Kluyveromyces lactis: one gene and its partners. The protein of the gene in region 2 interacts with the protein of the main gene of each other region in a pairwise test. Links are inferred from orthologs where the notes say so. Each region holds a gene or a part of one and is shown on either strand. Other genes may lie near its edges. The genes, in order: BRX1, PWP1 and CIC1.

Region 1 (10,212 bases), about 160 kb from region 2:
TGCTAACAGTGGTCGACCAACCTCGAACAGAACAAGCTCAAAGAATTTATTCAGTATCAACAAGCAGCATAACACATCTTCCTCTACCTCTGGCTTTTTTAAACTCAAAAATTCCTCAAAATCTTCTCTCAACAATGGCCAGAAATCTCCTAAACTTGGGAGTTTATCCAAACCATCAAATAACGTTTCTGGAAATAACAGTTACAAAGATCTCTTTGCTGGTTCCTACTATAAATATAAGGTATGGAGAAGACAACAAATGTCATTCATCAATAAACACGAGAGGATGTTGGTCATTGATGGTGACTACGTTTATATAAGTGGGCCTGATGGTGATTTCAATTGGACACACGAAAACGTCAAGACGAAATCGTTCCATATAAGCCAAATTACCCTGGTGAAAAGGTCTAAGCGCGTTCCAGAATATTTCAAGATTTTTGTTCACAGACCTGATAGAGAACGGAGATATTATTTCGAAGCTGTGTCGGCTGAAGAATGTGTGGAAATCATTACTAGGTTGCAAAACCTTATTAGAGTGTACAGAATGAATCAAAAGTGAACAATTGCGAAAGAAATGATAGATATGCAACAAACTGCATACAGTATATACCTCAGGGTGCTTGTATTTAAAATTAATTGTAAAGAAATATGCTTATATTCTAGATCTCTTTGCGATATTCTGAATCCATGAATTCACCATTTGTAATGAATTTTCAGGTTGGTCGTGAGGAACCATGTGTCCAGCATCATAGATTCTCAAGTAAGTTAGCGGGCCATAAGATTTGGTTTCGCCAATGGTCTCATCTGTTTCTTCACTCTTCCAAGTTCTCAAAACTTGTTTTTTATACTCTTCGTTATACCTCCATTCCAATTTTTCAGTCCAAGCGAGATTTCCTAGCCAATTACAAATATAATCCTTATCGCCTGCATATATCAAGACATTGATATCTTGATCAAGAAGTTCTGCGACGTACTGGTGGAATGGGCTCGGTCCATCGCCAGTGAATGCGAAACCGATACCGACATCCGAGCTACAACCTTGGAAAGAACTCACATCAGTCCCTAAAGCTCTTTGAACTTCCTCCTGATTCAAGTAATCAGAGATATAAATTTCTTCCTGATAACAGGCACCGGAATCATCCTCTGCTTCACACTTAGATCTAATATCGTAAGGGTTCCTACCTGATTTCTCATAAACCCCAGTAATCTGTTGTTCACAATAACGGTCAGCCAACACACAAGAGAAAACAGAATGGGACTTGTAACAGCGGTCCACAAGCGATAGGCATAGAGGTAGATTCCTATTCATATCTAAGCAATCTTCCGGTTCCAACACCGCTGGATAACCACCTTCACCACAGGCCATCGGCTCGTAATATTGGTATTGAGTCAGTGGGTCAGTAAATCCATTTCCAATTAATACTGACGATAGATTGAAGGAGGAATCCTCAGCATGCACTACAGCAATCTCATGAGCAATCTTGGGTAAATAATGACCGGCGTATGATTCACCGGAGATATGGAAATCGTTATTTCTCAAATGAGGGAATCTTTCAAAGAACAAATCTAAGAATATGTAAACGTCTTTGGCAGCGTCATCTGTAGTAGACACTTTAGAGTCACCGTATGAGAACCCAACACCAACAGGCTGATCTAGGAATATCACAGAAGCGTTGGAATTCCAAGAGTAGGGGTTATAAATGGGTTTCAAATCAGCTCCTATAGAAGAAGGTCCCAATTCAAAGAAAAGACCGACGAAAGAGGAACAGCCAGGACCACCGTTTAACCATAGTATCACTGGGTCATTCTCTGGGTCATTTCTAGACTCAAAAAACCAATAAAAGAAGTGTTTTGAGTCCTGGTAATCTAAATATCCCGACCATTGTTTCACGGTATCAACGCCAAGAGATTTGGGATCCAAAGGTTTAATTCTCAATGAATAAGCGTCGTCAATATTTGAGCTGAAGACACTAAACTGAGTGTTATAATTTGCAGTTTCATGATCCTCGATGTTGTTATTCCCGTCGAAACTGTTCGAGAATAAACTATCAACAACGGCATTCAACGAGATGGCTAAAGTGACAGATAGCCAGCCGTATAAAGATAAAAGAAACTTTATCGAAACCATGGCAGACACCGATGTACTGACTACTACCCTGAATATACGGCAATGGCAGTCTGTAGACCAAATACTAAGGAGATGATGGAGTAAGGGTCACTGAAAACCCTTTGTTTTAAAGAGGACTATTCATATTTTCGAAGTCAGTACATTCGATACGATCGGGTAACCACCAATACTATTGGCGGTAATATATCATGAATTTGTAGTTCACGTGATATTCACGTGAATGGCCGTTTTCTAATCTTTTTCACCTTCCGCGTCATCTTAGAAAGCATGCTCGAAGAGCCATGAAAATGTCAAGAATAACTCACCTTCTAAGAGCCGTTGAATTGTCGTATTGAGACCATTATGTGTCCATTCTATTGTCTTCCGTATCCAGTTGACAGAATTCAGCAGTAAACATACGTTAAACTGTGTGTACTCTCTGGTTTTTACCAGTTTTATACGAGCTGCTCTTACATGATTGGTCCAGTAAACTGTGTGAGGTGTATGGGTGTGTTGAAGAATATGCTACGTCTGTTTCTGAGCGATTTACTCTTAAAAAGCGTGTAAAGCAGGATTTCCTTTCTCAAAGCTGAAAAATTTCAAAGTTTCGAATTCTTCTCACTAGAAAGAACAAGGCGGTTTTGAGCGAACTTTTGCACTGGATCAGATGCGTTATTAGTGGTATCCTATACACCTTTGTTCGAGATTCACTCTGTTAGAATATAGACCAAGAAAATAATTTGATATACGATGAGTGCTGCATACACAATTTTGGGTAGAACTGTTCAACCACATCAATTGGCCCTAGGGACTTTAGGTGCTGTATTATTGTTGGTTATTCCAAACCCATTCAAGTCTAAGCAACCAGCCAAGCCATTATACTCTACTTCCTCTAAGGGTGAGGAAGATTTCATCAAGGCTTACTTGGAAAAGCATACTGCCAACGCTGAAAAGCACTAAAGATAAAAGTCAGGACATTTTTACTTCCTTATTAATTCTACCCACTTGACTGTTCAATTCACGTTTCCTGAAAATTATACAGTATGATTTGTTATTACTACGCATAACATCTTCGTATTTGGGGAATAGAAGAATGCAATGGCATTGGGCAAGTAAAATATTAATAAATCTATTAAAATTCAAACAAATGATAAAAAAAACATTTCAAACAGCACACTGTGGTTCACACCAAATGTAAAAACGTTTTCCCCATGACGTTTCATGACGCTTCAAGTTTAACTGGTATTCTGGCCCCCCAAGTTAACTAAATAAATTAAATATTCATGTACGACTTTAACGTATAGTATAGTTAGGAATAAAACGAAAAATTATATTATCAAAAACAGCCCATTCAAAAGCATATATATAGGAGTATACATATGTACAAGTCTGAGCAGGAAGAACGCCGTTCTCCTAAGTTGACAATATATAAATCATGATTTTTTCTAGAGTTCTGGATTGTACTTTAATCTTTGAACAATGCATCGTTGGATAATGGATCTACAGCCAAGACACTTTCTCTCTTCTTTAGTTTCCTTTCAACAGCAGCTTCGGCTCTGGTCTTAGCTTCCTTGGCAGCCTGTTGTTTAATTTGAGATCTAACGAAGTTTGGCGATACGTATTGTCTGTTTTCGTAGATCTTTGGACCACCAAATGAACCTTCAAGGATCAAAATCGGTGTCATCACGAAACGTGGGCCAATTTCAACTAACGACGTTTCATCTTCTTCTTTATCCTCATATTCAACGTTGTTCCTAGCTTCATGCGAGATCTCATACGTTCTTACCCAGATCTTTTCGTCAACTATACTGAAAGACATGATATGGTCAATGAATGGCTTGGACTTTCTAGCTTGAGGTGGTACACCGAAGTTATGGATAAAAAGTTCTTTAATTAAACGGTAGTGCGGTTCAGAATCAAATCTACCATCAAATGACAATATTGGTCTGGATCCCTTCAAACAGTTGCCAGTGAAGTTTAATTCGTCCATGGTATGTAGGTTCTGCAAATAAAACTTGATTGTTGGTCCATTTGGTGGCTTTGATAGCCATAGGTACAAATCCTGGTGCTTTCTAGCTTCAAAGAATATAATGTTATTACAGTTGTACAATTCCGCAATCTCATTCAATTGTCCTAGATCCTTCTTCGTGTCCAACTTAGGTTCCTTTCTCGAATGTGGTAGAAGACTGTTCAAATCCTGAACCAAATGACGATGTCTATAAGTAACACCTCTGGACGTAATAAGTAAGGTACGTTGCTTATTCATGAACTGTTTCTCATTACTGTCACTGTTAGCCGCATTATTTTTGTTCTTCTTACCGTCTTTATCCTTACGAGACAAAGTCTTGAAAATACTCGACATTATAGAAGGATTTGCTTAGCAGTTCTTGGCTTTTTCTTCCTTCCAACTACTCAAGTGTAATACAATAATCTCAAAGTGTTTAGACCGACGATGTATAGATTGGAAGGATCAGGACAACCTTGTTCAATACCTCTTCTCATCTCATCTCATCTCATCTCATCTCATCTCATCGCCTTTTCTAACTTTTCAAAAATTTTCAATGTACCGAAAAAGAAACTAAGGCTCATCAGTGATGATTTAAAATAGAAAAGGATAGTTTCTCGAAAAGAAAATGTTCGTATCGTCTGCCAACTGGCTTCTATCAGATTCAACGCGGGTGGGGATTGTATGGTGAGGTCTTGCGTTTATATTTCAAGCAGTAAGAGCGCTGATGCCCTTGTTAGGCTGTGCCGTTTACATTTATGGATACACATACAGTTATAGTTTATTATCCGGGTAATCAAGACTGAAAAATTACGATATTGGCTTAATTCAGCATTCAAACTTCTAATGAACAACCTCATACGCACGTCGTTCGTAGAACAACCCGGTATGTCTGGCAGTAACGGTGTTCGTTGCTGTTTGATCTGTTAGATTTGATATCGACCAACACGAAGAGTGGAAACTGTTGATATGAACTCTGAAGATCATCAGCTTTTTCAGCTATTAGATAGGGAACTGTTTAAGAAAGCTTCACAGTTTGTTGCATCATTGCAGAAACGGTACCCATCCGCCACTTATTACAAAGTGTTAGAGCAATATGTCAAGTACAGGCAATCTCCTGCGAAATATAGTTTTGAAAATGGGTTAAAGTTGATCTTGGATGCCAAATCTCCTCCAAGCGATGCGAAATCGCTATCAATGTGCCATCGATTTTTGTTGGAATTAGGTTTTGACACCACCAGTGCATTGGAACCTTATGAAAGAGCAATGATGAAATACGGTAATTCGGAGACATGTTATGATTGGTTCTTGGAGTCATTGAGGGATTTAAATTGGAGACATTTGAGTAAGAGTAGTTTCCAGATGCCACGAGTCAATGAAAAATCGAAATCGAGATTGTTCCAATTCTGGAACAGTATTGCTACTGTAGTATGGTTTCAGTTGGATAAAGATAACATTAACGAAAGGGAATTGGATCTTTTACCTAAGTTGACATATAAATTGACAAGCGATTTGAAACCTTTTGAGAATGAGCAAGAGTTGATCGTTTTCTGTAAAGTTTGTGAATTGTTTGAGGATAAATCACAGGAGATCGTGGACGAGATCCTCAAGTTTTGGAAACATGGTACTTACTTAGACCTTTATTTGAAAAACTTCCTTATGGGCCATTTGGTGAAATTAGACGATTATAAACTCATTTGGAAACATGGAATCTCGTTATTGAATAACCTTGACGATTATGGTATTTTGCAAAAGATTATAGATGCAAGTTACAAACTTGGCAAGTCATTCGATGAGTTATTGGAAGTTTTGGAAATCAAGAATACGAGAAATTACATACTAGCAAGAGTCGCAGCAGCAAAACTTTATGACGATAGGCTAGATCACTACCTGTTTCAGTTCATCGAGAAATATCATGATAAACCTAGTTGTCCAATCGATCTTCATAGCTTGGAATTGAACCCAGTGAAAATCGAGACCATGTTTTCAAAGCTGCCTTCGGGGCTGATACACGACAAAGCTGTTGCTCAATTGTTCGGCAAAGGTGATAATTTGGAATTGTTCTTGAAACATAAGGAATCTTTGTCAACAAAGCCAAAGACAGATTACTCTAACTGCTCGTATTTCATCCTTGAAATCGTGAAAGACCTATGCCAAGACTCCAAAGTGAACTTAGAGAACGTCATTACGTCCATTTCGCTCTTGGAAGGTTACCAAGCAGAAGACCCCTTCAACTATGACACCAGGGTATGGCTTGTTCTCTTATACATGTATCTGGGATTACCAGAGAAAGCCATTGCCCATTTGGAGACGTTGAACATCAAGAATGTTCAAAACGATTTGGTAAACCACTGGCTCTTCACACGTTCCTCGACGTTCCTGCCTAACAAGAACTACAAGTATTGTCAAAGAAGCCTACAGCCACAGGCGATCTATTCATCGTTAAAGAACATGAGTGGGTTCCTAGTTGCCTCATTTGAACGTAGAAGTTGGTGCAAAGTACCTGGAATCGTAGAATTTTACCAGAGGATCTTCCAATCGTTCACCAGGTGGGACGCTATGGTGGAAACGTTGCAAATGTCCAGGCTATTGAACGAGAAGAAACTTGACCAATACAAACCACTCATTGAGAGTTTGAACACGTTCGGCGAAAACAACTTCCACAACGAAAACTGGAGCGATAACAGAGATTTTGACATTTTTGGTACAGACGATGTGACCCGATTCCAAACGGTGCTTGCACCAATCCACGTCGGTACCAAATGGTTGAAGATCAGCATTACAAGAGAGTTGATCTTCTACAGCCTAACTAAAAACGAACGCAATAGGTTCATCGACGATACACTCGTTACCACAAACGATGAAGAGTTGCGCGAATTGATGTCTCAGCACGAACTATGGACCTGGCAACTCATCAAATTACTCTACAACTCCCTGGAAACAGAGGCCATAGACTACAAGGCCATGGCGATGCTAATAGAACAGTGTCCAGAAATCAGCAAGTCTACATGGGAATTGAACCATAGCTATTTAATCACCTTGGCAACGTTAAAGTCACTAGACCAAATGAAACGCATCAAGGACAAAAGCGTCAAGCAACTGATAAAGACCAAGTTAAAAGAGACAAGAGATACTTGCGTCCCGATGTTCAAATCGTACGCTGATATGGTCCAATCGGTTGGTAACGGCAACAAACTACTGGAAACGGTCTCATACTCAAAACTAACCGGTGACATTGCTACTGAAATCACCCAGATGTCAAAATCAATCCGTAACATATAGGGAACTAGATATCCTATACATACTAAACACCTGAGATACCAGGCACGTGTTACGAACGAGACAAAAGGAAAAAGAAAAACGGTTGCACAAGTTTTCCCTAAACGGTGCGCGAGCCTGCGAAGAAAGGTACGAAAAAGGGCATCGAGATATCAATAGGAACTGGGAAGATAAAAGACTTATCATTACTAATGACTTTGCACAGATAAAGTTGGAAGTAAAAATCCCCCAATTCACTCCTGTACTCGGTCTCCCCCCTGTACTGGAAACAAGACACGAAATAAACCGTAAACAGTGTATAATGTCATAGGTAGGTACGTAAATAAGGCATCAGGGTTCTGCACCGTCCGATTTTCCACGGCTGTAAATGACATTCCTTCGGCTGGAGATGTCAAATCTTGGCTCTGCTTAGTTTTAGCAGCAAAAAATCTATTTTTGAAATTGAAAAAAAAAAAACATCAACACAATTTCTGTTATATAAAGGCAAATGACAAAAAACAGTAATGTTATGGCGATCTTTCGTGGAGTTAATTGTTTAAAAGCGCGTTTTTTAATGCGTGGTAAGGTTGATATTTAGCTGTAGGTACAGGTATTCTCATACAATCCACGTTTCATCTTATTTGTGGTTTGTTCCTGTGTTGGATTTTAAGGGTCCAATACAAATTTTTTTTTGTTTTGTTGTTATTTAGAAACTTAACTGACAAGTTGTTTTCAATTTTGAGGTCGATATTCGAGTCCTTACGCGTTCGCTTTGATTATTGGCTTTGTTAGTGGTTGGCGAGTGCTTAATACACTTTTTTTTTTGTTCTTACAGCGTTTCTCATCGATTGAAATAAGAAATAATACGGGAAATAGTTGCCAAGCTCATCAGACGGAATAACATTCATCAAATTTTTTTTTTACGTCTGTTATGGTGTTTACTACGAAACGTTTCCAGAAAGTGTTCAAAGTGGTTGTTGCGTTTGCTTTAGCAGTCGTGGTGTTGAACAGTATCCATGTTTATTTGAAATCTGAAATTGCAACCAATGATTATACAAGTTCATTGAAAGAGTATACCCAGCAGTTCATTGAAGAGTATGAGGATACAGGCTCTTCGTACGATGATGCGAGACAGGAAGCGAGCCAACAGCAGGGTGACAAGCAAGGATCACAGACCAATACCAATGGTGATAGTAATAACAAGATCAATGGCGATAAAATAAAAAATAATAATAACTATTATAACGAAAATAATAATGATGGTGTTGTAAAGGATAACGTTGGCGCAAGTTCTACCCCCAGTTCAAAGAAGAAACAGGTCCAAGGGTTTTATGGTCAAGTTTTCAAGTATTTGAAGGAATTTGGTCCTGTTGGAGTTAATATTGCTACTTATAACCAAAAATGTAGTTTGAACGGTGATATTGGGTATAGGCAAGAGAACACAGACCAGTGGTGGAAACTTACCACTGAAGAGTTGAACAACTGTTTGCAACTTTCTCAAGAACAACGGCTGATGTTAAAAGAGGCCCATTCAAATTACGTTCATGCATTGAGTAAATTAGTGTTGCCCAAGGATACGTATAGTGGAGACGGTATAGTGACAGTTGGTGGTGGTAAATTTTCGATGATGGCTTTCCTTATCATTAAAACGGTAAGAAATTTCGGCACAACTTTACCAGTAGAAGTTTTCATCCCCCCTAGTGATGAAGGTGACGACGAATTCTGTAACGTCTTGTTACCTCAGTATAACGCTAAGTGTATCTATCTGTCAGATGCTTTCCCACCTGACTTGATAGAAAAATCCGATTTCAAAGGTTATCAATTCAAATCATTGGCTATCATCGCATCCAGCTTCAAGAATTTGCTATTACTAGACGCAGACAATTTCCCAATCAAACCATTGGATGGGATCTTTGAAGAAAAATCCTATAAGGATACTGGTCTTATCCTATGGCCTGACTTCTGGAGACGTACCACACATCCATCATACTATAGTATTGCTAATACACCTATCTCAAGCGAAAGAATCCGTAACACCATGGACGATGTCACTCCGCCTTCAGTCTATACCAAGGATTTGAAAGATTTGTCTGACGTTCCGCTACATGATCTTGATGGAACTATTCCAGATGCTTCCACTGAATCGGGTCAATTGATGATCAACAAACTGAAACATTTTCCAACGGTTTTACTATCGTTATACTATAACGTTTACGGGCCATCGTGGTACTATTCTATCTTCTCTCAGCGTTCCTCAGGTGAAGGTGACAAGGAAACGTTCATCGCTGCGGCTCATTTCTATGACTTGCCCTTCTACCAAGTACGTTCTGAACCCCGTGTTGATGGGTATCATAGGCATAATAACGAGGGTTTCCGCGGCGTTTGTATGTTACAGCACGATTTCGCCCAGGATTACAAAAGGTATCGTCAAGCTCAAAACGAAATCGGAACCAAATATACAAACGAACCCGATGACTACGATCCAAAGTATAATTATCAAGAAAATTACCTCGGTAAGTATTTCACAAATGATCCGGTCGATGTGATGTTTGTTCATTCCCATCTACCGAAATTCGACCCCGTTGAACTTGCATTATCTCAGGATTTGATTCAGGATGGTAAGCATATCAGATCTTACAGAAACTTGAAAAGAATGAACGGATACGATCTTGAATTAGAAGTGTTCAAAACTTTCAAAGAGTATGTCTGTGATAAAAGGGTACACTTTAAATACTTCGAGAAAGCAGTTAAACTAGAATCTAATTGGGGCATCATTTGCAACTACGTAAATGAAAGATTAGTTTACCTAATAGAAAGTCACTCAGAAGCCATGGAAGGAAGA
Region 2 (11,168 bases):
GTGAAACTTGATCCATTTATCCAGGTTCAGGACCGAATCTTCATATATTACAATCGTCTGGCCCTTAGCAATCCTATCAGCGATATCTCGCCTGCTCAAAACTCTACTCATACTGTAGTCTTTTAGCTCTTGACGCTTTCAAGTTCAGGATTCGATGATTTGATAAATAGTATCAACGAAAACAGGTGGCTTAGATAGTTAATTTTCTTTCCATTGGGCTTGTGTACCTGAAACACAATATTATATCTACTTGTACTATAACTATGATTGCATTGAACTGATATGTTAAAACCGATATACAGCTATTCTTCGTTTGCATATTGTACGTGGCTGTTTCATAGATCACCATATACATATTTGAATATTTATTCTATCTTACGGGCGTTATACTGTGGTGTACTTACTGAATTTTCCGGGTAACAAATATCATGAATATTCCCCTTTAAACGAATGAGAACCAACTGTCACGTGATAAAAAGTCTTTTGTTCCCGATGATGTAGTTTAGAGGTTTAAAGAGTCAGGCATAAAACCCTTGAAATATAAAGAACTGGTATCTTGTTATGAAGCCGAATGCAACGGTGTGTTGAGTTATATTTTGTCTAAAGTTTATCCAATCTGCAGCAGATCTGAACATTACCCAATTACTTTGTGTTTTTCTATGAGGGAGTTTTATCTATCATCTAGCATGTTGGCTAGTGAAACAGGGATCGCCTATGAAGTCAGTGACAGCTACGGATCAAGAAGATATGATAATAATGGCAATAGTTCTTCTGAAAGGATTCAGTATGTGATTTCGATGGCTCATTCACAGGGTTTTGATTGGAATCAAGATTTTTTTGCTACTAGATACGAGCAAATGTGTCAAGTTGTGTATGACGGTCATGTTGACAGCATTGAATCGGTAATTGAAGGGTTAAAATGCGAGGAAGAGGCAGTTACGGAAAAAACTAGTGAAAACGAAGATGAAAATATGGATCATGATGGCAGGCCCATTACTCTTTCCTCCAAAGACACAAATACACACTACCGTTACTCTCCGCAGGTTTATCGAAGGATCAGTGATGCTTTTATTAGACCAAGACGTAAATCCGACAGAAGTATATCATTTTCTGCTGATAGGGAACAGGGAAACTTTAAACGTACAGAAGTGACCGTTATCGATGTAGAATCAGAAACTCTGGAGAACAAACTCCTCAAAAGCCTTGTAAGATCATAATTTGTAAATTTCGTTGGCAGAATGTCTCTTTTTTATTAGTACATGTTCATACAGGATATATACGCCGCCGAAAATGTATTAATGGGTAAGTAACCTAGAAAGGACGTACTATGTTGCAACTAGTCTAGAGATTTTTGACTGGAGGTTCATTTTAATTCTGTTTTATCCTTATAGAGAATTAGGAATATGCATTATATATTGTACAATAGTGAAACTGTGTGACGAGAATTTAATCTTCATCTTCTTCGTCGTCTTCTTCCTCATCGTTTTGATCCTCCACAGTGAGCACAGTTTCTGGGTTGTCGTTTTTGGTATACTTTCTAGCGATTCTTGAACTTTTCCCCAGAGCTATGGCCTCTTCTCTTGCTCGTTGTTGTAAGGTTTTAAGCTCTGGTTGGAAACTCTTTCTAACAGATCTGTTTGTGAACACATCCCATAATTTTAGACCGGGGCTCACACCACCAACAACCATATTACCTGCAATTTCAATATCTGGTGCGAATGAAGTGGTTAATACATTTCCTACACCGAAATCACGACTTAGTACCATGCTTGGACCTTTACCAGGCTTTGCGTCTAATGGACATTTCCATAATTTGACAGGTTTTTCACCCATAGCACTGGTTAACAGCATATTTGGAATATGTCTGTTGATTTCGACAGATGAAACACCTGCATCATGAGCCTTCAAAGTCCAAACTGGCTTAGATTCGGCACCATTTCTAATATCAAAAGAGTACACGTTACCGTTATCAGTACCGCAAATGAAGATGTTTTCATCAGCAAAACGGACACATTCGATTTCCTCTCCGGATGAAACGTTCCAGTATTTAGACATATCGTTGTCGTTTTCGATTCTCACATCGGACAATGCAGCACGAGAATCGTAACCAGCAGTCAATAACACAGAACCGTTTGATGGATGCCATTGCGATGCTGACACATTGGTATTTGAATGGATGTTGATTAACGAACGAGCGGCGGTTGCTGTGTTTAAATCCCATAATTTGACAGTATGATCTGCTGATGTAGAGGCTAAAACTGCTCTGAACTGTTTGTTATGTGCTAGAGATAGGATGGCATCAGTGTGATGTGTTGTCACATGTTTGCTTTTGCTCTTCTTCTTCTTTTTTGATTTAGTTGGTAAGGCGATAGAGTTATCTGTTGGTTCACCAAGAATCATATCAGGGAAAGCCTTATCAACACAATCCAAATTCCAAATCTCAATGGCAGGATCGAAAGTACCCACTGCAGCGAAATTTGCAACAGTTTCATCACTGTTTGAACCTGGCTTGTAATTCAAACATTCAACACAAAGTGGGAAGGCTGGTAACATAAGGTCGTGGTGTACATACAACGAAGAATCACGAACTAAACCACGCGCCACATCAGGATCTTGTTCATCACCCTTTTCTGATGGAATATCCGAATCGTGGAACCCGGCACCATCATCGTACACATATACGTCCAAGTAAGAAACGTCATCTTCAGTTCTGGTAGCTAGGACCATGTTATCAGTCGGATAAACTTGTAATTCTTGCTTCTCTTCCACGTCATCCTTTGATTTTGGAAGGGAAATATAAGGATCTTCACCTTCTTCACCCTCGTAAAATTTGACTTCCTCGGATAAACCCATGAACATGGCATCTTGGGCGTTGGCTTCATCTTCTGGATCATCGTAATGCTCTAAGTCGAATTCTTTCAAATCGTCATCAACTGCCAATTGGTCCTTCAATGCGTTACCATTAGTAGTTGGCTCTTCCACTTCTTCTGTAACTTCTTCACCTCCTTCTTCAGCTTCCTGAGCCTCTTCTAAATCATGTTTGGCCTCATCTAAATTCAATTTGGCCAACTCGTTAATCCTTTCCATCTCTTCATCGTTAAGTTCATATTTCTCAGGAAATTCACTCGCGAACCCTCTTGGTACCCACGAAGTAGCAGACAACATGGTGATACTTCCACTTATCAAACAAATACACTGATTAATTGGTATATAAGAACACCCTGTATCAATACAAACAGCCTATAAACCATAAACCAGTCCCAGTTTTATCAACTACCTATCTCATCTCATCTCATCTCATCTCATCTCATGTTAGAAAATTTTCGAATCGCTAACCTCGAAAGAAAAAAGAAAGTAGATGGATTCGACCCCTGTTGAAACAGCGCAGACGGAAAGGAATAAGGTGTTAATGGCATCTACAACTGCAGTTAAGCCGCAATTATAAATCTCAAACAATTAAGCCCTTATGATAGTTGTCATAGCAGCTTGATGATCTTGAATCGAATGTTCTCTATCATTAATATGTAATTTTGTTTGCAAAATGTGCGACTTGATGACACCGCTCAGGTTAATCTGAAAAAAAAAAACGTTGAGCTAGGATTTGTCAATATGGGAAACGACATTTGAAACGACTTCAAAAGAAGTACAATAGGCGATACAGCGGTTGACTTTTGTTAGTACTGCTATTGTTGCCCCGATCGACCTTAAGGTAGCTGCGAACGCGCGTCTTTTCCGCTGGAAATAATATATCACAATGTCTGAAGAAGATAAATCTAAGAAATTGGAAGAGTTGTTGAAACTTTTGAAGGTCCATGATGGTGATTTGTCGAAGTTCACCTCTCAACAACGTAAGGATATGAACGAGTATAAGTTCTGGAAGACTCAGCCGGTTACTAAATTTGATGAAGTGATCAAGAAAGAGGGGCCTATTGATTCCAGTAAGAGACCAGAGGATATTCCAGACACACCCTTGCCATTATTGGGAGATTTCGAGTGGTGTACCGTTGACGTTAATGACGAAAAACAGTTGGAAGACGTATACGTGTTATTGAATGAGAACTATGTCGAGGACAAAGACTCTACCTTCAGATTCAATTATTCCCGTGATTTCTTGAATTGGGGGTTGAAACCACCTGGCTGGAAAGAGGAATGGCAAGTCGGTGTCAGGGTTAAAGAAACCAAGAGACTTGTTGGTTTTATCAGCGCTATCCCAACCAACTTACAAGTTAGAGGTAATGATGTGCGTAGTGTCGAAATTAACTTCTTATGTGTGCACAAGAAGTTGAGATCAAAGAGATTGGCGCCAATTTTAATCAAAGAAGTTACCAGAAGGGTGAATAAGTACGATATTTGGCAAGCCTTGCACACTGGTGGTGTGGTTTTGCCCTCGCCAGTCAGTTCATGCCGTTATGCTCATAGACCACTAAACTGGTCAAAGTTATACGACGTTGAGTTTACTGCTTTGCCAGCAAACGCTACCAAAACCCAAATGATTGCTAAATATACTTTACCAAAGACTCCAATCTCTAACATTAAACTAATGGAGGAAAGACACGTTGATGAGGCCTTTGAACTTTTCAATAAATACCAGCAAAGATTTGAATTGAGACCAAACTTCGATAAAGAAGAGTTCAGACATTGGATCTTGACCAGAGAAGATGTTGTATATTCCTACATTATTGAAAACGACGAGGGTAAGGTGACAGACTTCGTCTCGTTTTACTCCTTGCCGTTCACGATCATCAACAACCCATTGTACAAGGATTTGGGAATTGGTTATATGTTCTATTATGCTTCTGATGCCGACTTCGGATACGACAGATTTAGCGCAGAGGGCACAGAAAGATTAAGAAAGAGATTGAATCTGTTGATCAACGATGCATGTATTTTAGCTCGTAATTTGAAAATGGACGTATTCAACGCTCTAACTTCCCAAGATAATGCGTTGTTCTTGGAAGACTTGAAGTTCGGGCCTGGTGACGGGTTCTTAAACTTCTACTTGTTCAATTATAGATGTTTCCCAATCACTGGTGGTATCAAGGAAGACCAGACCTTTGACGTGGAAAAACGTAGTAATGTTGGTGTTGTCTTACTGTAAATAAATGTTTAAGATATTTAAAAAAGATATATTCTGATATTGTCCGTTGAAACATGCAATGTGGGTATGTAGATTTAGAATCTCAATGTCACATTTCATTATGAAATGACGGCAGGTTTCAGTCACAAATTGGAAGAGCATTTAAAAGCCTAATAGTCAGCTTCTTAGAAGAAGTTGCCTCGATGTCCCTTCAAGAAGGAGATCATCATTGAGGCATTATACTCACTAAATGATAAGCCTGCTCTGAGAGGGCATCTTAATTCATTATTCAGCCTCCTCTCTCATTACTACTTGAGTTTTACTATGCTGGGTTTTAATTAAAGAAATCTGAAATTAAAGGCTGTACCTGCCGGCATAAGAAAAAAATGGTATTTAGGGAAACGTTGAGGTGATCAGTGAACGTAAAGGTATATAAGCAGCAGTATCTTGGCGAGTATCTACCAACCTTAATTCGACTTTAATGTTAAAAATAGCAGATCTATAGCGGTAATCCAAACTGACAATGACAATGAATAACAGAATTATTGAAATATTAGTGACACTTTTCTTCCTACGTATTGCCAGTGCAGCAGTTTTAGGTTCTCTAGATGATGATGCACAGCAATCTGAGAAACAACCAGAACAAGCAACAGCCTCACAACAACCAGAACAGGCAGCATATTCGCAACAAGAGACTACTGGCTCCTACGTTGCTGCTGCAGTTGAAACCGCTACTACATCGGCAACGACCAGTAATACTAATCACGTGACTTCCCAAGCAAGTGTATGGGCAGAGACCTCAGCCAGCAATACAGTTTCAGTAGACAATACGCTGGCCACGTCAACTAGAAACTACGATGAACCAATAACTATACTCACCACCACAAATTCCGCAGGTGAAACGTATACATCTAAGATTTGGTGGCTCCCCTCGTCTTCCCTTACTGAGACTGGTTCGACGACAGCTACTCTGTCACAATCGGCAAGCAGCGCTTCGTCAACACAGACAACTGCTTACGTAAATAGCACTAACGGAGGTGCTTTCAATATGAACAGGGACATGAATCAGTTTGGTTCATCAAGCAACTTGGTTTACCTGGGTGCAGCTATTGCATTGATAATATGATAGATGCTAGGCATACATTTTATAGAGCAGTATATAGTTCAATATTGGAGAAGCCAACACTTTGACATAGATCGTATCTCTTGCAGGTAGAATCGATGCACTTTATGCATCGTCTCAACCAGAACCGTTACCAGCGGTTTTCAAATATTCATCGTAATTCCGGACAATGGACTCGTTTAGTCAGTGATTAGGGTGACGGCTTGATTGTGTGACTGAATAAGCGAATGCCTTTTTTTCGGTCTTCATGTCGGTAGAAACTGAAAAAAAAAAATTCGAAATACGGAAAAAAGCTTGATAGTATTTATAAGATGGTGATACCTTAGTAACTGGTGATGAATTAAAGTCTGCTTTTGGATTCACACTTGTCATTAACATTCTACTATTTCATATTACATTTAAGCCCACCGGAACTAATTGAGGTAGGGAGATCAGTATCAAGGTTCTGGCAACTATCATTTCAACGTTTTATCTTTTAACCTTTCGATTGTTCCGATGGTCCTCTGGCATAATAATTCACATACGTTTGGAAATTCATTCGATGCTGTCACCATAGCATTTTTTAACCGATACCCAAACCCATATGCCTCTCATGTTTTGAGTATCGACACTCTTTCTAGACGTGTCGATGATGATGGGAGACTTATATCTATTAGATTGATTAAAAAGATGGGGAAGCTTCCCAATTGGGTGAAACCTTTTCTTGGAAAGATATCTGAATCCTGGATCATTGAACATTCAGTGGTCGATACCAAGAAGGGAGAAATGCTGACTTATACTAGGAATTTAGATCATACGAAGATTATAAAAGTGGAAGAATATACTAGGTTTGAAAAAGACGGGAATAGCACTCAGGTGAAATCCATGGTCAAGTTCAGTAGTGGATTTGGGATTGGGATTAGAAACAGAATCGAGAGCTGGTCACATAGCAAGTTCGATGAGAATATTCAGAAGAGCAGGAAGGGCATGACTTTCGTTTTGCAAAGACTGGATCTCTCGTTAAACAAAACTTCGAGCTGAAAACGGTTTATTTGGCCTATTCTCCTTCTGCTTTCCAGTTATTTATTTGCATTTACTACCATACAAGCATCGAACAACAAACAATATATATACTAGAGACATGGACTCTCAATTTACTTCGTCGGGTTTATCTTTTAACCTCCCAGGACTTTTATTTATATCACAAGAAGCAGAGCAGATCAACCAGTAAAAAAAATGACGAGCTAAACGTTAATCACATATTTATCAATATACCAGGGCAAGTTCCTTGTTAGTATTATTTGATCTCATTATTGTAAATAGTCTACTTGCTTTGAAACTAAATCGTTTATTACATATTTGTATATTATTACATTTGATCTGAATCTATATTTATGACTGAACCGAGAATGGGTCACTCCCTTTCTCTCAAGCAAAACTTATATCCCATCCGATATCGTCACAAATATCTATCCAATCACGTTCTCTAACCCCCGAGGACCCTATAGATTCTCCTTCGTCATCCATCTTCCAGACATTTTGCATAATGTCATGTGCACGAACCACATTACGACATTTGTAAGTATCAATGTACCGTATGAATTTATCCTCAATTATGGCCCTATCCTGATCCAAACAATTGATCCCACAGATGAACATCGGAAAACATAGCGACGATTCCAATTTAGTTCCCAAGACAAGATCTAGCTTTGATAGTAGCGTTTTCGTATAAAACACTATTTCAAAGGTATTGTTTTCAACCTTCAAAAAATTGATCTTTAAATGTATTAACGCCGAAAGTCTGAAAATCTCAAAAAGGTGTTCGGATAGCTCCCTATAGTTTATTTCGTCGTCATTCTCTTCTGTACAATGCGATAAAATGTCAAGACCATTTTCATCTGGCGTGAGATTTAATAACTGTTGGTTTAGTTCCAAGGCATTGAACATAATAGTCTTGAAATTCTGTGAAGACACGTTCAATTTCTCTGATTTCATTTGCCTTATCAGATTTGTAGTTTCACCCAATACTTTGAAAATGGGCCTATTCAACAAATGTAGGGAATCGACTTGTAAATTGCAATCAGTGAAATTTGGGTTTGAAGATAATAATAACGTTTCATATTGGTTCATGGGGAATTTTGTGGTCTGTGAACCCATGATATCATGGTATATGAAATTCGCTAATAACCAATTTCTGGTCATCAAGTCGATGGCGTCGAACTTTGAACTGTTATCATCCGTCAATAACGAAATCAAATTCGAACCACCAATATGTTCTTTAATCAATTTGGCACCGGTTTGTAGTAAAATCTGCCATCTATTAACGTCCCCTTGACATATCTCTGCCCCACACAAGACCAAAATTTGAGCCAAGGAATATAAAAATGATGATGGCGATTGCTGGTGCTGTGGTTCATATAAACATTGTAGCGACTCTAATGTGTAATTGTTGGCCAACTTTGAGAAACGCGAGTCTCTATCTATTATAAGTCGAGTGGAAGCACCACCTTCATCCAGCGCTGGCACAGATTTAGAAATGGAAAGGTGATGAGCAGCCCATGCAAGAATACCATATAGAATCCCCTTATGTTTATGTGCCATAGGAAGGAAACATTGGAGATAAAAATTTTGCCTTGCTGGTGCAATACAAATCACCTGAGCTAAATGATCACGATAATAGTTGTAAAGATGCAGTCCCGTTGCATCCAGTTCCATCATTAGTGGTTCTGTTAAAGGATGTGACATGTACGGATCAGGAAACTGGACTCGTTGCAATTTCACTATATCTGTACCTTCCTCATTCAGTTTTCCAGCATTGATGCTGGAACTTGTATTCCTCTGTAGATCTTGCAAAAAGCTAGTTTTATTATCATCTACAAGAGCAATAGCCGTAGTATGATCTATATCTTCAGAGCCGTCGTCCTGCTGAGACTCTTGACTTTTATCTAGGGCACTAAACCCTGGTGAAAGTAATGAGCCCATATGTTGAGGGTAAGATCCATCAGATTCAATCTCAGTAAGTACCATGTCCAGCATGGACGGGCTCATTACAGGCAATTTAGGAGACGGGTGTAAATGTGAATGGGAGTGGGAATGGGAGTTTGACATAGCCATACCACTTGACATAAAACTATTCAAATGAACTCCGACCGCATCCACTGCCGCAGTAAAAGGAGAATGTCCATTTACCAAAGTCGAAGAACCAGCTGCAGAAGAAGAGTCTCTGCTAATAGACATCACAGCATTTACCTTGAGTTTCTTCTTCTTCAATTCAGTTTGTAACCAAACTTTATAAGCTCTTATCTGATCTTTAGTCAAATTGTCCGGAAACACACAATCCAAACTGAGCCTTGCACAATCTTTACAAATTGGCCTATCCTCTGAACACCTTTTCTTCCGTACTTTGCAAGTAAGACATCCTTTCTTCGAATGACGCCTACGTTTAGGCTCTCCTTCCGAAAGATCAACAGCCATCTTTTTATCGTTCGATCAGGATATACTGAAAACTGTGGGAAATCTATCGATTAAACAGCAACGTAGTGTGCCCACCTATACACTTTCGAACCAATCAGGGGTCGGTGCTAATGGAATAAATAAGTGGTTTTCAGTTGAAGCAAACAAGCCCGAGCAGTTCTGATTTACTATAAAAGACGAACCACTCCGAGGCTAGAGGTAACCAAATTCCACCTTACGTCTGTCTAATGACATTCAGATTTCATTTTTCACTTCCTTCTTTCTTTTTCATGCTCCACTTGGATACTTTAACTTCAAGCCATCAAAAAGCTTTTTTAATCTTCTTAAAACAAATAATGAACGACGACTCAACTTCAACAAAAGAGGTACGAGGGACCATTGGAGGCAGAATTCCCGTATACTAGCTCATGATGTACTGTAACTTATTCTGAATTTACATGTAGATATCAGTGACATAAGTACGTAAATATATACATGTGGTACCGGGTGTAGAAGTAAAACGTACCCAGTACTCGGAGGTATTATACGAACGGGTTCTCGAATTCCAAGCAGAACCGCATGTAGGAACGCATGCCTCATATTTAGGAACAACACATTAGGGTTTGAACACCATTCTCTACGTTGGAATGCATTGATCAAAAATGCATGAGTCTGGGTAACGCGTCAAGGTACAAGCTTGTTACCCGGATTCATACCGGCTGACGTAATGTATATCATTCACGTGATCGATGATTACCTCCCTGTTCTTCTTCTTGTCACCAGCACTTCTCACCCACCTTCGTCCCGCTGCCAGCAAATTCGAGCAACCTCGATATGATTGGTCCGATTAGATCGAAACTGACTTGGCCCCTAAACTCGGAGAGTGGGGAACCCAAATCCTTTCTCTTATCTATACGACCGGGTAACGTAATGTCACTTTGCCTGCTTACACCATCAGCAACGCACTGTAGCCCCTCCTCCCCTTATCAATCCCAAGTATGCCTTTTTGTTTTTTCTTCTGCGGTGTTTTCTGAAAAAAATACGTTTGGGTCTGAAAACTACGCCATTTTCAAGCTCGAAAAGAGCTATTCAAAGCACGTTATTCAGCAGTCATCTTTATTTGACTATCGGTTCATCCCGTGAAAGCTGGATTCCATCTAGTGCAGTCCCAATCCCAGTCTGAGTCTCCGCTTTGTTATCAGAATCGATTCGCCAATTCTCATTGGGAGAAGAGGAGCACAGCAAATTTAGAAACCCTCAAGAGATTTCTCGCTTACTCTTCCTTTCTTTACTTCATTTTTGACTAGTGTTTTCGAATGAATTTTTTTTTTTTGGTATGGTGATTTTATCGGTATCAAATACTTAATATATTTCTTAATATTACATTTTATCATAATAAATGAAATTAATGTGCTACTTACTGCCTGACATTTTCCCTATATATAAGAGAATGTAAATTTGAGAATATCAAAAGTAACTGACTGTTTAGTCCCGTTCATTTCTAGATGTTGTTCAGTTTTTTTTGGTAAGATCTGT
Region 3 (10,708 bases), on a different chromosome or scaffold from region 2:
CGTTACTCTTCTTCTCTGGTCAAGTTACTCATCATTACATGAACTTGAACCACTGCGGACAGATCTTTAAGAAAGGGACTTCGGTAGGTGATCTAATTTTTTTTTTTGAAGAAACTCTTCCAACTTTAGGAACCACCTTAATTTGAACTCTGGTTTATCATAGTGAAGTAAACTACTTTGGACTTACTAATAATCGCTAAAATCTCATAACTTAATTGGCTCTCATCCGAATAGAGACCAGTACAACCTTGAGAAGAGTTTTCCCCCTTTTTCTCTAGTTTTTTAATACCCAAAATCAAATGTCTAAGCAATTCAAGCATACAACCCAGGAGAGAAGATCTTCCATAATTTACTCGAACAATAATGGTAAAGGCGGTCTTTTCTCTCCTCAAGATTATATTTCGGGAGACAAGACTCAAGCATTTATAGACGACGATATTAGCGAAGATTCAGAGGATTCTCTTTTCGCAACCAATAATTCTCGTACTTTACAACACGAATATGGTTCTACAGGCCGAACGGGAAGCAGTGATAGTAGTGAGATTCATTCCGCCTTACCGAAAAATCTAATACGAGAAGAACGGGATCTATTGATGGACAATAAGCTGTACAATTCTAATCATGCTCTTCATAATCATGCTGCATATTCAACAAATGATCCAAACTCTTCCTTTGCACCAACATCATCAATCGAGGATCAAGAAGTGATTGAAACTTGGGAGGATGCAATTGAATCAGGGAAAGACATAAATACCACATTTAAGAGAGAGGCCATAGTGATAACATCTAATGCATCACCTCTTGTACTGACTTTCATTTTACAAAACTCTTTATCTTTAGCATCAATTTTTTCCGTTTCACATTTGGGAAGCAATGAATTAGGAGCTGTTACCCTAGGATCTATGACAGCGAGTATCACTGGGTTTGCTGCCATCCAAGGGCTCTGTACTTGTTTAGACACACTTTGTGCCCAAGCTTACGGTGGTAACCACTATCACTTAGTTGGTGTGTTGTTTCAAAGATGTGCAATTATCACGATCATTCTTTCTCTACCTGTTCTCTTCACATGGTGGCAATGGTCTGAACAGATACTTGCATTATTCATTCCAGAAAGAGAACTATGTGCCTTAGCTGCAAAATATCTTCAAATTGTTTCTCTGGGGATTCCAGCCTTTATCCTATTTGAATGTGGTAAAAGATTCTTACAGTGTCAAGGAATCTTCCACGCTTCCAGTATTGTCCTTCTCGTTTGTGCTCCCCTTAATGCATTGATGAACTATGTTTTAGTGTGGGATAAAAATATTGGAATAGGATATCTTGGTGCACCTATTAGTGTAGTATTGAATTATTGGTTAATGGCTCTTGGGTTGTTTGCTTACACTTTATACACGAAAAATGAAAAAAATCCCATGAAATGTTGGAATGGATTTATCAAACCGCATCAAATTTTGAAGAATTCACGAAAGATGTTCAACTTAGCACTGCCTGGTATTATCATGGTTGAAGCTGAGTTTTTGGGTTTTGAAATTTTGACTATTTTCGCATCTCATTTAGGTACCCATGAATTAGCCGCTCAATCAATTATTTCGACTATCGCTTCTCTTGCCTATCAAGTCCCCTTTTCAATTTCAATTTCGACATCGACTAGAGTTGCAAACTTCATTGGTGCGTCCTTGTATCGAAGCTGCGTAATTACTTGCAAAGTGTCATTATTACTATCGTTTATTATTAGTTCGTTGAATATGGCAATGATTTACAAAGCTAGATACCTAATAGCAAGGCTTTTTTCCTCAGAACCCGATGTTGTCAGATTGGTTTCTAGTTCGTTACCAATCTTGGCCTTCATGCAAATTTTTGATGCATTTAATGCTTCAACTGCAGGTTGTTTGAGAGGCCAAGGCCAACAAAAGATAGGAGGATACATCAACGTTTTTGCATTTTACTGCATAGGTATCCCAGTATCATATTTGCTAACATTTCATTACGGATTTGGTGTTAGTGGATTATGGTGGGGTATCACTTCTGGTTTAGTTTTCATGAGCATTTTCCAAAGCTATGCTGTATTTCATTGTAATTGGAATGATATTATCCGTGCAGCAAAGTCTAGAAATAGCGAAGGTGCCATGGTATAACGTCTCTGAAAAGACCACATATCGACTAAATACCATCGTACATTAATAAATTAGGAAGAAGGTAAACCCCATTCAATGCATCTTATATTGAACTTTTCATATATCATTATCTGTTTATTTTTTTGTTGTTTAGATATAAAAGATTTAACAGTACATCTTCTAGTTGAAGGATTGAGTTGTCAGCTGTTTGCTAATCATTTTATTGTACAATACCATACTGTTCCAAAATTTTGGCTAAATTATTATATAACCATGGTATGGTTTTATCATTTTCCTCAACAATACCTTGGAAGTGTTCGATGGATTGCTCAACGGTTATATTTTTGCCCTTTGCATATTTGTTGATAGCATTCACCAATGCGCTGCGGCGCTGATAAGTTCTCAACTTGGGTAATTTAGACAATTGACCTGCACCATGTTTCTCCTCGAAATGCAAGATCTGAAGCTTTGTATCTGTATAAAACTCGTGGTAAAGGTCATGGACGCTTTTGGGACAATCTGTCATTATAAGGTGATAGTTCTCAACATTGTTCAGATCTTTTGCGCCGAGAGGTCTGATTTTGCTCGAGTGTTGTGATTTCGCTACCTTGTACCTTGATGGCATTTCTCGCGATGCGTTCTCCGCTTCTCTGCTGAGACTACTGAAAAGAATTTCATTTTTAAATTCTTCTTTGAAAACTTTTGGCCCTTCCGAAATGTCAGCTTCAGTCTCATCAATTCCAAGTAGAGGTAGAGGATCTTCATTCTCTTTATTTACGTCAAAATCCACTTCTTGTTCCTCGGTTAAAAACTGGTTATTCATATCCAAATCATGAGCTAAAAGATGTGTTTTAATGATTCCTAAATCAACAATAATCCCAGTATGCTGTTGTTGTATTAAATCTAACTTAGATTTTAACAGGGCAATTTGACCATTGACACTTTGACACTTGCTATTACACACTGCGTCGCATAAAACGTTCCAATCAGTTTGTAAAGTGTCTACTCTGCTTTGGAATGTATGAATTATTCGTTCAATATTCTGTGGCATCTCATTTGATTCTCGGCGTCTTCGCAATGCAATCAAAACTTGAAAATACTAATTGATTCAGATGTAAATAATAGTGTATATACTAAACTACGAATAAGCACGAATAACAGAGGTGATGATGTGAAAGTTTGTGAAATCTGTGGTTTATATAATATTTGACATATGTTTAATATAGTAATTAAATCTTTTTGTGACACTTTTATTTTTCGTTTTTCCTTTTCCTTCACTGACTGCATGGACGCACCAGTCCACACAGAAAAACCAGCAAACCTAAATGTGGCACATCAGAAAAGTTGTTCGAGCGGCGATGGGTTTGCACCATCCAAACAATACTAGGAATAACGTTTTCCTGCTGGTTCGAAAACGCACTGAATTTAACTACTGTTATTCTTTTATGAATTGCAAAGTATCGATGCTATCTGGAAAATTTGAGTACAGATTAAATACATTTTGTAGGGAAAACTATCATTGTAGGAGCGGTGACAGCCGTTAAATCTATGCTAAATGGGTAAGTTTTAAGACGATATTTGTGAAGGATAGAAATTAAGAAAGAGGAATGAAAAAAAACGCGATACTCCTGTACCTCTAATTTTTTACGTTTTTATTCTTTGTCTTTTGTCTTTTAGCGCTGGATTTTTGTTCTTTCGTTTGCTCTTTCTTTTGTTCTTCTTGCTCTTCTTCTGCCTCGACCTCTTCCAAGTTTCTTTTGGCTTGCTTAATTTGCGTAGCAAACAAGGAGTCTAGTTCGTCTGGATTTGCAATTTCTAACAAAGATTTCTCAAATTGTGATAGTTGCAATTCGACACCATCAATTTCTATGACATTTTGAACGGAAGTCTTAGCATCATGTCTGGACCCAACCAATTTGTCTAATACTTCCAAATTAACGTATAATGGAAGGACTGGTGATTCGTTAGATTTGAGAAGAATGGTTCTGATATTGTACTTTTCGATGAACTGTTTAGCGACAGAAATGATATTTTCAGTCAATTGTTCTGGGGTGAACCATTCCAATGAACCTAGATGAACATTCATCGTGTTACCTCTTGGAAGTTTGACTGGGATTTTAGTATCATAAATTCTCTTGATGCTATTTACCAAAGTTGTCTTGTTAAACTTGTTATCCGATCTTGTGTTAATGGCAATTGGAGTGGTATTCAACTTACTGTATGCTTTACCACCTAATAGCTTGGGCAAAGCTGTCACTATCGAGTCATCAGCTAGAATGAAAGAAAAATCCTGTACAAATGCACGCCTCTTTTCAAAAGCCTTGTATTTTGTCTTCAAATCTTTACCAGATATGATGGCATCAATAGTAATATGTTCTGGAAGTAGATCGATCAAGTCTTCTGATGTCACTGAATTGATATCAGAATCTTTTAGAATCAAAAGAGTCTTGAAATCTTTAACCATGGTGGTGCTAGCTTCCTTCCATGGCTTGAAGATAGAATGAGGAACTGTAATTAGTTTTGGTTTGAAGTTTTTCAAAGAACCAGTAAAAGATTCAGTGTTGACTAGGATCAACTGTAGCTGAGCCTCCAATTCAGAATCATCAATTAACTGATTGTCATTTGATCCATTTTCCTTCAAATATTCTTGCAATTTAATAACAGCATTGTTAACTCTGTTAACTGGAATGACTTCTTCCTCTTTACTGCCCTTAGTAGCCTTGGTGGCTTTGGTCGAAACCTTGCTTTTCTTAGTTTTAGTTGCCATATTATCTAAACTTTGATATTGCTTATAATGTGCTTGTAGATATACTAGACTGGATGAGTGGAGTTATTTCCTCTATATTCTGGATTCTTTCCAAGCGTTTTTTAACTTACTTGATTCGCACTGTCTCAGAAAAAGATCAACAAATTGTTGGTTCACCTAGGTAAGCTTACTTCTCGAGTTCGTACTGGCAACTATGAAATATCCAGTATATATCTAATCAATCCTTTGAGCTGAGAAATAAGAATAGGTACTTAAATACTTTACATACCATTACTTTATTAATCGTGTTAGGTGTGCAACATACTTCGAGATGAGATGAGATGAGCTATGATGAGATGAGCTCTCTATTGTCAAAAATAAAAATTTTCTGTTTCGCAGGAGCTCCACTGTGTTCACGTAGTTAGTAAATATTGCTTTTTGAAAGCGAAGGCCGTAATATATGATTTGAAACTTTTCTTGAAATTTGATAACATTTGACACTTAAGAAATAAAGAGTAACCGAATCTGATATTGAATCTCGGTGCGTGTTTGTGCAAAAGTTACTAATGAGCAACGGGCTACGTTCAGTGAATGGGGTTACAATACAAAAGGGCTTAAACTGTGTATTTTAGGGTTTCTTTCTCTGGTTTATTTCGGAACAGTACTATTTTTGAGTTAGGTTTTTTCGGCTGTCAAACAGGACTCACGATCGATATAAAGGATACCTTAACAGAGAATACGCCGCACGAATCTGATTTATGAGTTATTAAGTTGCTATTATTATTATTATTATTATTATATCGTAAACATAGTCATCGTCCCCGTTCATTTATACTGCAAAAGGCATATTAGCATATATTAATCAAATCTAGCCGCAGGGGTAAGCATACGCTCTCACAAGACAAATAAGAAGAGCATTAGACATGGGTAAGAGAAAGAAGTCATCCAGAGGTCCAGCCAAGAAGATAGTACAGAGGTTAGATACGGCATTCAATTGTCTCTTCTGTAATCACGAACGCTCTGTGAGCGTAACAATGGACAAAAAGAATAACATTGGCTCGCTTCATTGTAAGATTTGTGGACAATCGTTCCAAACCCGCATTAATGGTCTATCACAACCGGTAGATGTATATAGTGACTGGTTTGATGCGGTTGAGGAAGTTAACGAAGGGAAACATAGCGAATCTGAAGATGAAAACAGTGACAGTGACTACGAGAGTGACTCTGATACTGAGCCTTCTTCAAACCGTAGAAAAGCTGTTGGAATAGATTCTGACGAAGAAGAAGAAGAAGAACAAGAAGAAGACGAAGATGCGGATTACGGAAGAAAAGGAGCGACCGAACGAAAAGACTCAGAACCAGAATCAGACTCAGACGATGACGGTAAAATATCTAACAAAAGAGGAAGAGCAGCATGGATGGACAGTGATGACGAGTAGTCGAACCGACAGAAACACAGACATCGAACACCAATATTAATCTTACAATTGTATCTATCTATCTATATATTACCCAGAGATATACTAGTAGAACGAATAAAATCAGGTATAAAGGAGCTGATATTTACGTTCAAAGAGATTGCTGGATCTTATCTGTTTCCTATAAGAATTTATATAACGCTCACCTTGGCTTTAACCATCGGTTGATAGTATTCAGTTTGTACTGCAGAAGAATTTATATATCAATTCTACATCAATAATAGTATCTTTGGTATATCGAACTTCTCAGTAATGTGGCATTATTTCTGAACTAGATGGTGATACACGAGATAACAAAACTCGAAAACTTCAGTTGTATGAATTCAAACAAGATAAAATTACTTCTGCTCGTAACGGTGCAATAACCTAACATACGATCAAGTGAAAACAAAAGAGCACATTTTTCTGTCTACCGCTAAATAGACTAAACGCGTATGTTAATAGCTGTTTGTTTGATATATAACTACTTTTCCTTATAATTTAGTCAGTATAACATATATATAATTATAATAATTGTGATGATGATGATAATAATAATAATAATAATAATCTTGATTTTATTTGAATTGTTTGTAAATGTTTCTTGAAGGTTTGTATTCACGGTTCTGTATATGTCCTGGCAAATAAATAATGTCTTCGTATCTGCTACTACCAGTAGTCAGCACCAAAAAAACCTCCTCAAACAAACAAATGTGTGACAAGAATATATGGTGTCATAGGATGGGACACGTTCGTAAATATAGTTTTTGATGATATTTATTTTGGTTTCATTTGGTTGTTGGTGTTGTGGATAAGTATTGTTCTTTCCTTCCTAGTGAAAGGTTCTCAAAAAGTGAAAATAGTATGGGAGAAGATGATAAAGCCGGTGACTTTAGATTAAATGTTCTTCTATATGCACTTATTGGAACAATTCCTCCTTCAAAGGAATTCCCAATTCTTCTCTAACATCCTTCAATTCATCCAAGTAAGCCTTGTATTGATCTTCGTTTTCAACTTTGTATCTCAAGGCTTCGAACACTCTGACAGCAGTTGGCAAGTCGTTAACCTTTCTGGCGGCTCTCAAGGCCTTTTCGATAACAGCTGGGGCTGGAACCAAATCGTAAGAGAAACAGTTATTCAACACTCTTTGGACTTCGAATAAATCGTAAGCCTCTTCGAATTCCTTTTCGTATCTGGCGGTGAATTCTTCAAAGGTTTCTTCTTCGTGTGCATCGGAGTACTTTCTGATAGAAACAAATTGAGATTGTAATTGACCAACTCTTGGGGCAACAGCAGCTCTCATCATAACCGGAGCAACGGCTCTTACTGGCATAGCAGCTCTCAACAAAGTTCTGGACAACATATTTTTCTTTGTATTGGTTGATTCGGGATTTGGATTTGATTCACTGTATTAAGATGATCAAATAGCTATTCTAAAAGGAATTATAACAAACCGTATTCACAAAAGATTCAAAGTCGAGTTCTATTGTAATTAAAACTTAATGTAAAACGCTTTAAAGATATATCAAATAGGTTAGGTAAAAGGTAAATCGACCGATAATTTTCTCTGGAGTTTTTTTAAAAATTTGAAGTAATGAAGAATGAAAAAAAAAAAATTAAATACTTAAAATCGCATAGGACAAATATCAACAAACAGTTCAAATACTTAAACTAGTGGATAGCTACGTCTTTGAACTAGATAAAAACGAGATTGTTAAAAGGAAAGTAAGAGTAATAACTTGCGAAACGAATAGCACAAATTTGAACCTCGAGTGAGTCGTTCCATTCGAAACAACTTTTATTGTATCTTATTCTTTGTATGCATCATCTTCTTAGTAGTTTACAAAAAAGTGGTATTATCAGTTTTTTAAATAGTGTGTCTATGGAAAATGGATGGAAGAAAAAAAGAGGGCTAACATAATTCATCGGCAGAGTTGCAACAAAAGTTCACACTCCAAAAAATCCTACATGTGGTACTTACGAGCAAGTCGTTTATCTAGTTCGATTTTAATTATTTGAATTGAGTATTTCTTGACTTTCTGCTGCCTGTCATTTTTCAGTCGAGCGATGTCAGATTAAAGATCTCATGTTCAAAGGAAATGAAACCTTAACTCTCATAATCTTCGAAATAATGTCCTATAAAACAAGATAATAAGTCCGTGATAATAAACCCCACAAGCAGTATCTATAGAATCCAATAAAACACATTCGTGAAATATGCTGGGGGGTAATGGGCATTGATTGAGACTGGTCCGACCGTTCTGTAGGGTGTCTTGTTTGTGGGGAAGGAGAACGTATTGGCATATGATTGGTTCGTCACCGATGATTTTTACCACATAGTCGGGTAATAGGACAGCGGGAGAACGTGACTTCAATACAAATACAATTACCCGGAAGTCGCGTGGTTTCAAAGGTTTTTTTTTTCTCGGTAGGCAGGTTCCCCTGTTCGATCCCTCATCTCCGCAGAAAACTGCGGGTTATTATGTCTCTAAACGCGATAGTTAATCCTCTATATCGTCAAACGTTGAGATAGGTGGCATCGCGGTCTTGATATGTTGCATCAAAGCCGTATGGTTTGGTTCAGAGTTTGTAGACCCCTCAACTATTATTCGGGTATGTCCATTGTCAAACACTTTTCGAACAGCAGGTTTTGAATCATCGTCGATACCTGCACCAGCCTCTTCATGTCCCGTGTTACGATTAGGCCATTCTTCAAGCCTAGAGTAATCAAATCCCGGAGGAGGTGACGCTGGCGGAGACACTAGAAATAATGTCTGGGCAGGGGGAACTTTAAGGTGATTCATCACAGTGTCAGCGCCAGCGTGTGGAAATCCAGCTTGTGAATTCGATTCAGCCACGTGATTCGTGATGGAGAACCCAAATTTACAATCAGGGAATAATGGGTTCAAGGATTTCACTTCACGGCTCGCCTCAATATTAGGCGATGTTACCAATATTCTCTTGAATCCAGGAAGTGTAATGACACGCACGGCATCCGCACCGTAAATCTGTCGAGTATCCACCACACATTCTTGCACCTTATTTACGATCTCATCAAACAAGGGCTTGGAGCACACGTCCTTTGTCTTTGACGTTATTATTACAGTATCAGTAGCAAAATCATCATACGTTGCCATTCCAAAGAAGTGTATTCAGTGTGAGTGTAACCAAAGTTCGCCGCTATTTGTGCATGTCTAAGTAAACACTTAGTATATGTAAGTAGTAGATTACGTAGTTACTGAAGAAAGTGAATCGATCTTTACAGTGAAATATTGAAAAAAATATTGAAACAGAAAATCACTAATGCATGAGATGAGGTGTGTTCAGAATAACATTACGTGTAATTAAGTTACGCTTGATTCAGTTTGAGATTTATACGTTAGAATTAATTAAAGAGACAGAAGAATATACAGAATGCCTCTCACTAACGTTATATACTGTGGTGTGTGTGACTTTCCTGCTGAATACTGTGAATTTTCCGGTAAATTCAAACGTTGTAAAGCTTGGTTACAAGAAAACCACCCAGAATTGTACACCAAATGGTATGGCGATGTCACTGAAGATGTGTCTAAACAATTGGCAGAATCATCTATTGGTGATGAAAGAGAGGAGAAGCTTGAAAAGGCCCTAGAGAAACTAGAAAGAAAACAACAGGCTAGAGAGGAAAGAGAATTGGCTAAGAAATTATCGTCTAAAGTTGTGATCAGAAGAGAAGCAAGAACAAAACGGAAGTGTATGATTGCTATCTCTGGACTAGAAGTTTTCGAAATTGACATGAAGAAACTTTCCAAAACTTTTGCATCCAAATTTGCTACAGGTTGTTCTATCTCCAAAAATGCCGAGAAGAAAGAAGAAGTGATTGTTCAAGGTGATTTGGCAGATGAAGTAGAAGCATATATACATTCTTTACTAGAGGAAAAAGGTATGAAAGAAGTTAAGGTAGAAGTAATCGATGCCGCGAAGAAGAAGAAAAAAGCTGAAACTACAACTACACCAGGATCCGAAAATAAGAAATGATTATGAGAAGCACATTTAGCTGACACCCTTTTGTCATAACTTTATGTTAGCCTCTTAGGTAGAAAGATTTATATAATACCGCATTCATCGTTCAACAAACTGCACAATTAAACATCAGTAAGATGCTATATCTATACCCTCATATATAATAACTGTAGTAGCTATTAGGTTCCCATAAATATACTCCCATGGTGAGGAAGGGCAATACCTTACAAAAGAATATCCGGGTAAGATCACTTTTTCTTCACTTCCACTTCCATTATGCACCGTTAGATGGTGAGGAAACATGTCAAAATGTAAAATAAACTAAAAGCTATTTTCACCGAGCACAGAGAGTAAACAAGAGAAAGAGCCTTGAGTAATACACTGAGCACTCT

Evidence for each region.
Region 1: the proteins of PWP1 (region 2) and BRX1 interact in binary tests that used the Saccharomyces cerevisiae proteins (3 or more experiments, as listed by UniProt). The link is inferred for Kluyveromyces lactis from reciprocal best matches to the Saccharomyces cerevisiae genes PWP1 and BRX1.
Region 3: the proteins of PWP1 (region 2) and CIC1 interact in a protein complementation assay, tested with the Saccharomyces cerevisiae proteins (2 studies listed by BioGRID). The link is inferred for Kluyveromyces lactis from reciprocal best matches to the Saccharomyces cerevisiae genes PWP1 and CIC1.

What each region holds. Positions count from the first base shown.
Region 1 is NC_006041.1:1,572,991-1,583,202, reverse strand, and holds BRX1 (ribosome biogenesis protein BRX1), read right to left. Parts: upstream 4,470-10,212; coding exon 3,573-4,469; downstream 1-3,572. Other genes in the region: AVO1 (Avo1p), read left to right, coding at 1-559; KLLA0_E17821g (S10 family peptidase), read right to left, coding at 653-2,128; MDM20 (Mdm20p), read left to right, coding at 5,082-7,394; alpha-1,2-mannosyltransferase MNN2, read left to right, coding at 8,302-10,212. UniProt on the Saccharomyces cerevisiae protein: Required for biogenesis of the 60S ribosomal subunit.
Region 2 is NC_006041.1:1,732,262-1,743,429, forward strand, and holds PWP1 (rRNA-processing protein PWP1), read right to left. Parts: upstream 3,166-11,168; coding exon 1,447-3,165; downstream 1-1,446. Other genes in the region: KLLA0_E19471g (fatty acid desaturase), read right to left, coding at 1-111; UGX2 (Ugx2p), read left to right, coding at 660-1,217; glycylpeptide N-tetradecanoyltransferase NMT1, read left to right, coding at 3,755-5,098; NCW2 (Ncw2p), read left to right, coding at 5,601-6,203; UPS1 (Ups1p), read left to right, coding at 6,696-7,220; UGA3 (Uga3p), read right to left, coding at 7,608-9,653.
Region 3 is NC_006042.1:2,029,388-2,040,095, forward strand, and holds CIC1 (Cic1p), read right to left. Parts: upstream 4,879-10,708; coding exon 3,748-4,878; downstream 1-3,747. Other genes in the region: KLLA0_F21802g (MATE family efflux transporter), read left to right, coding at 300-2,132; KLLA0_F21824g (transcription activator GCR1-like domain-containing protein), read right to left, coding at 2,332-3,162; ELF1 (Elf1p), read left to right, coding at 5,781-6,296; COX6 (cytochrome c oxidase subunit VI), read right to left, coding at 7,234-7,677; TMA22 (Tma22p), read left to right, coding at 9,729-10,331. UniProt on the Saccharomyces cerevisiae protein: An adapter protein that specifically links the 26S proteasome to its substrate CDC4 which is one of the substrate recognition subunits of the SCF E3 ubiquitin ligase complex. Required for turnover of cell cycle regulatory proteins CDC4 and GRR1.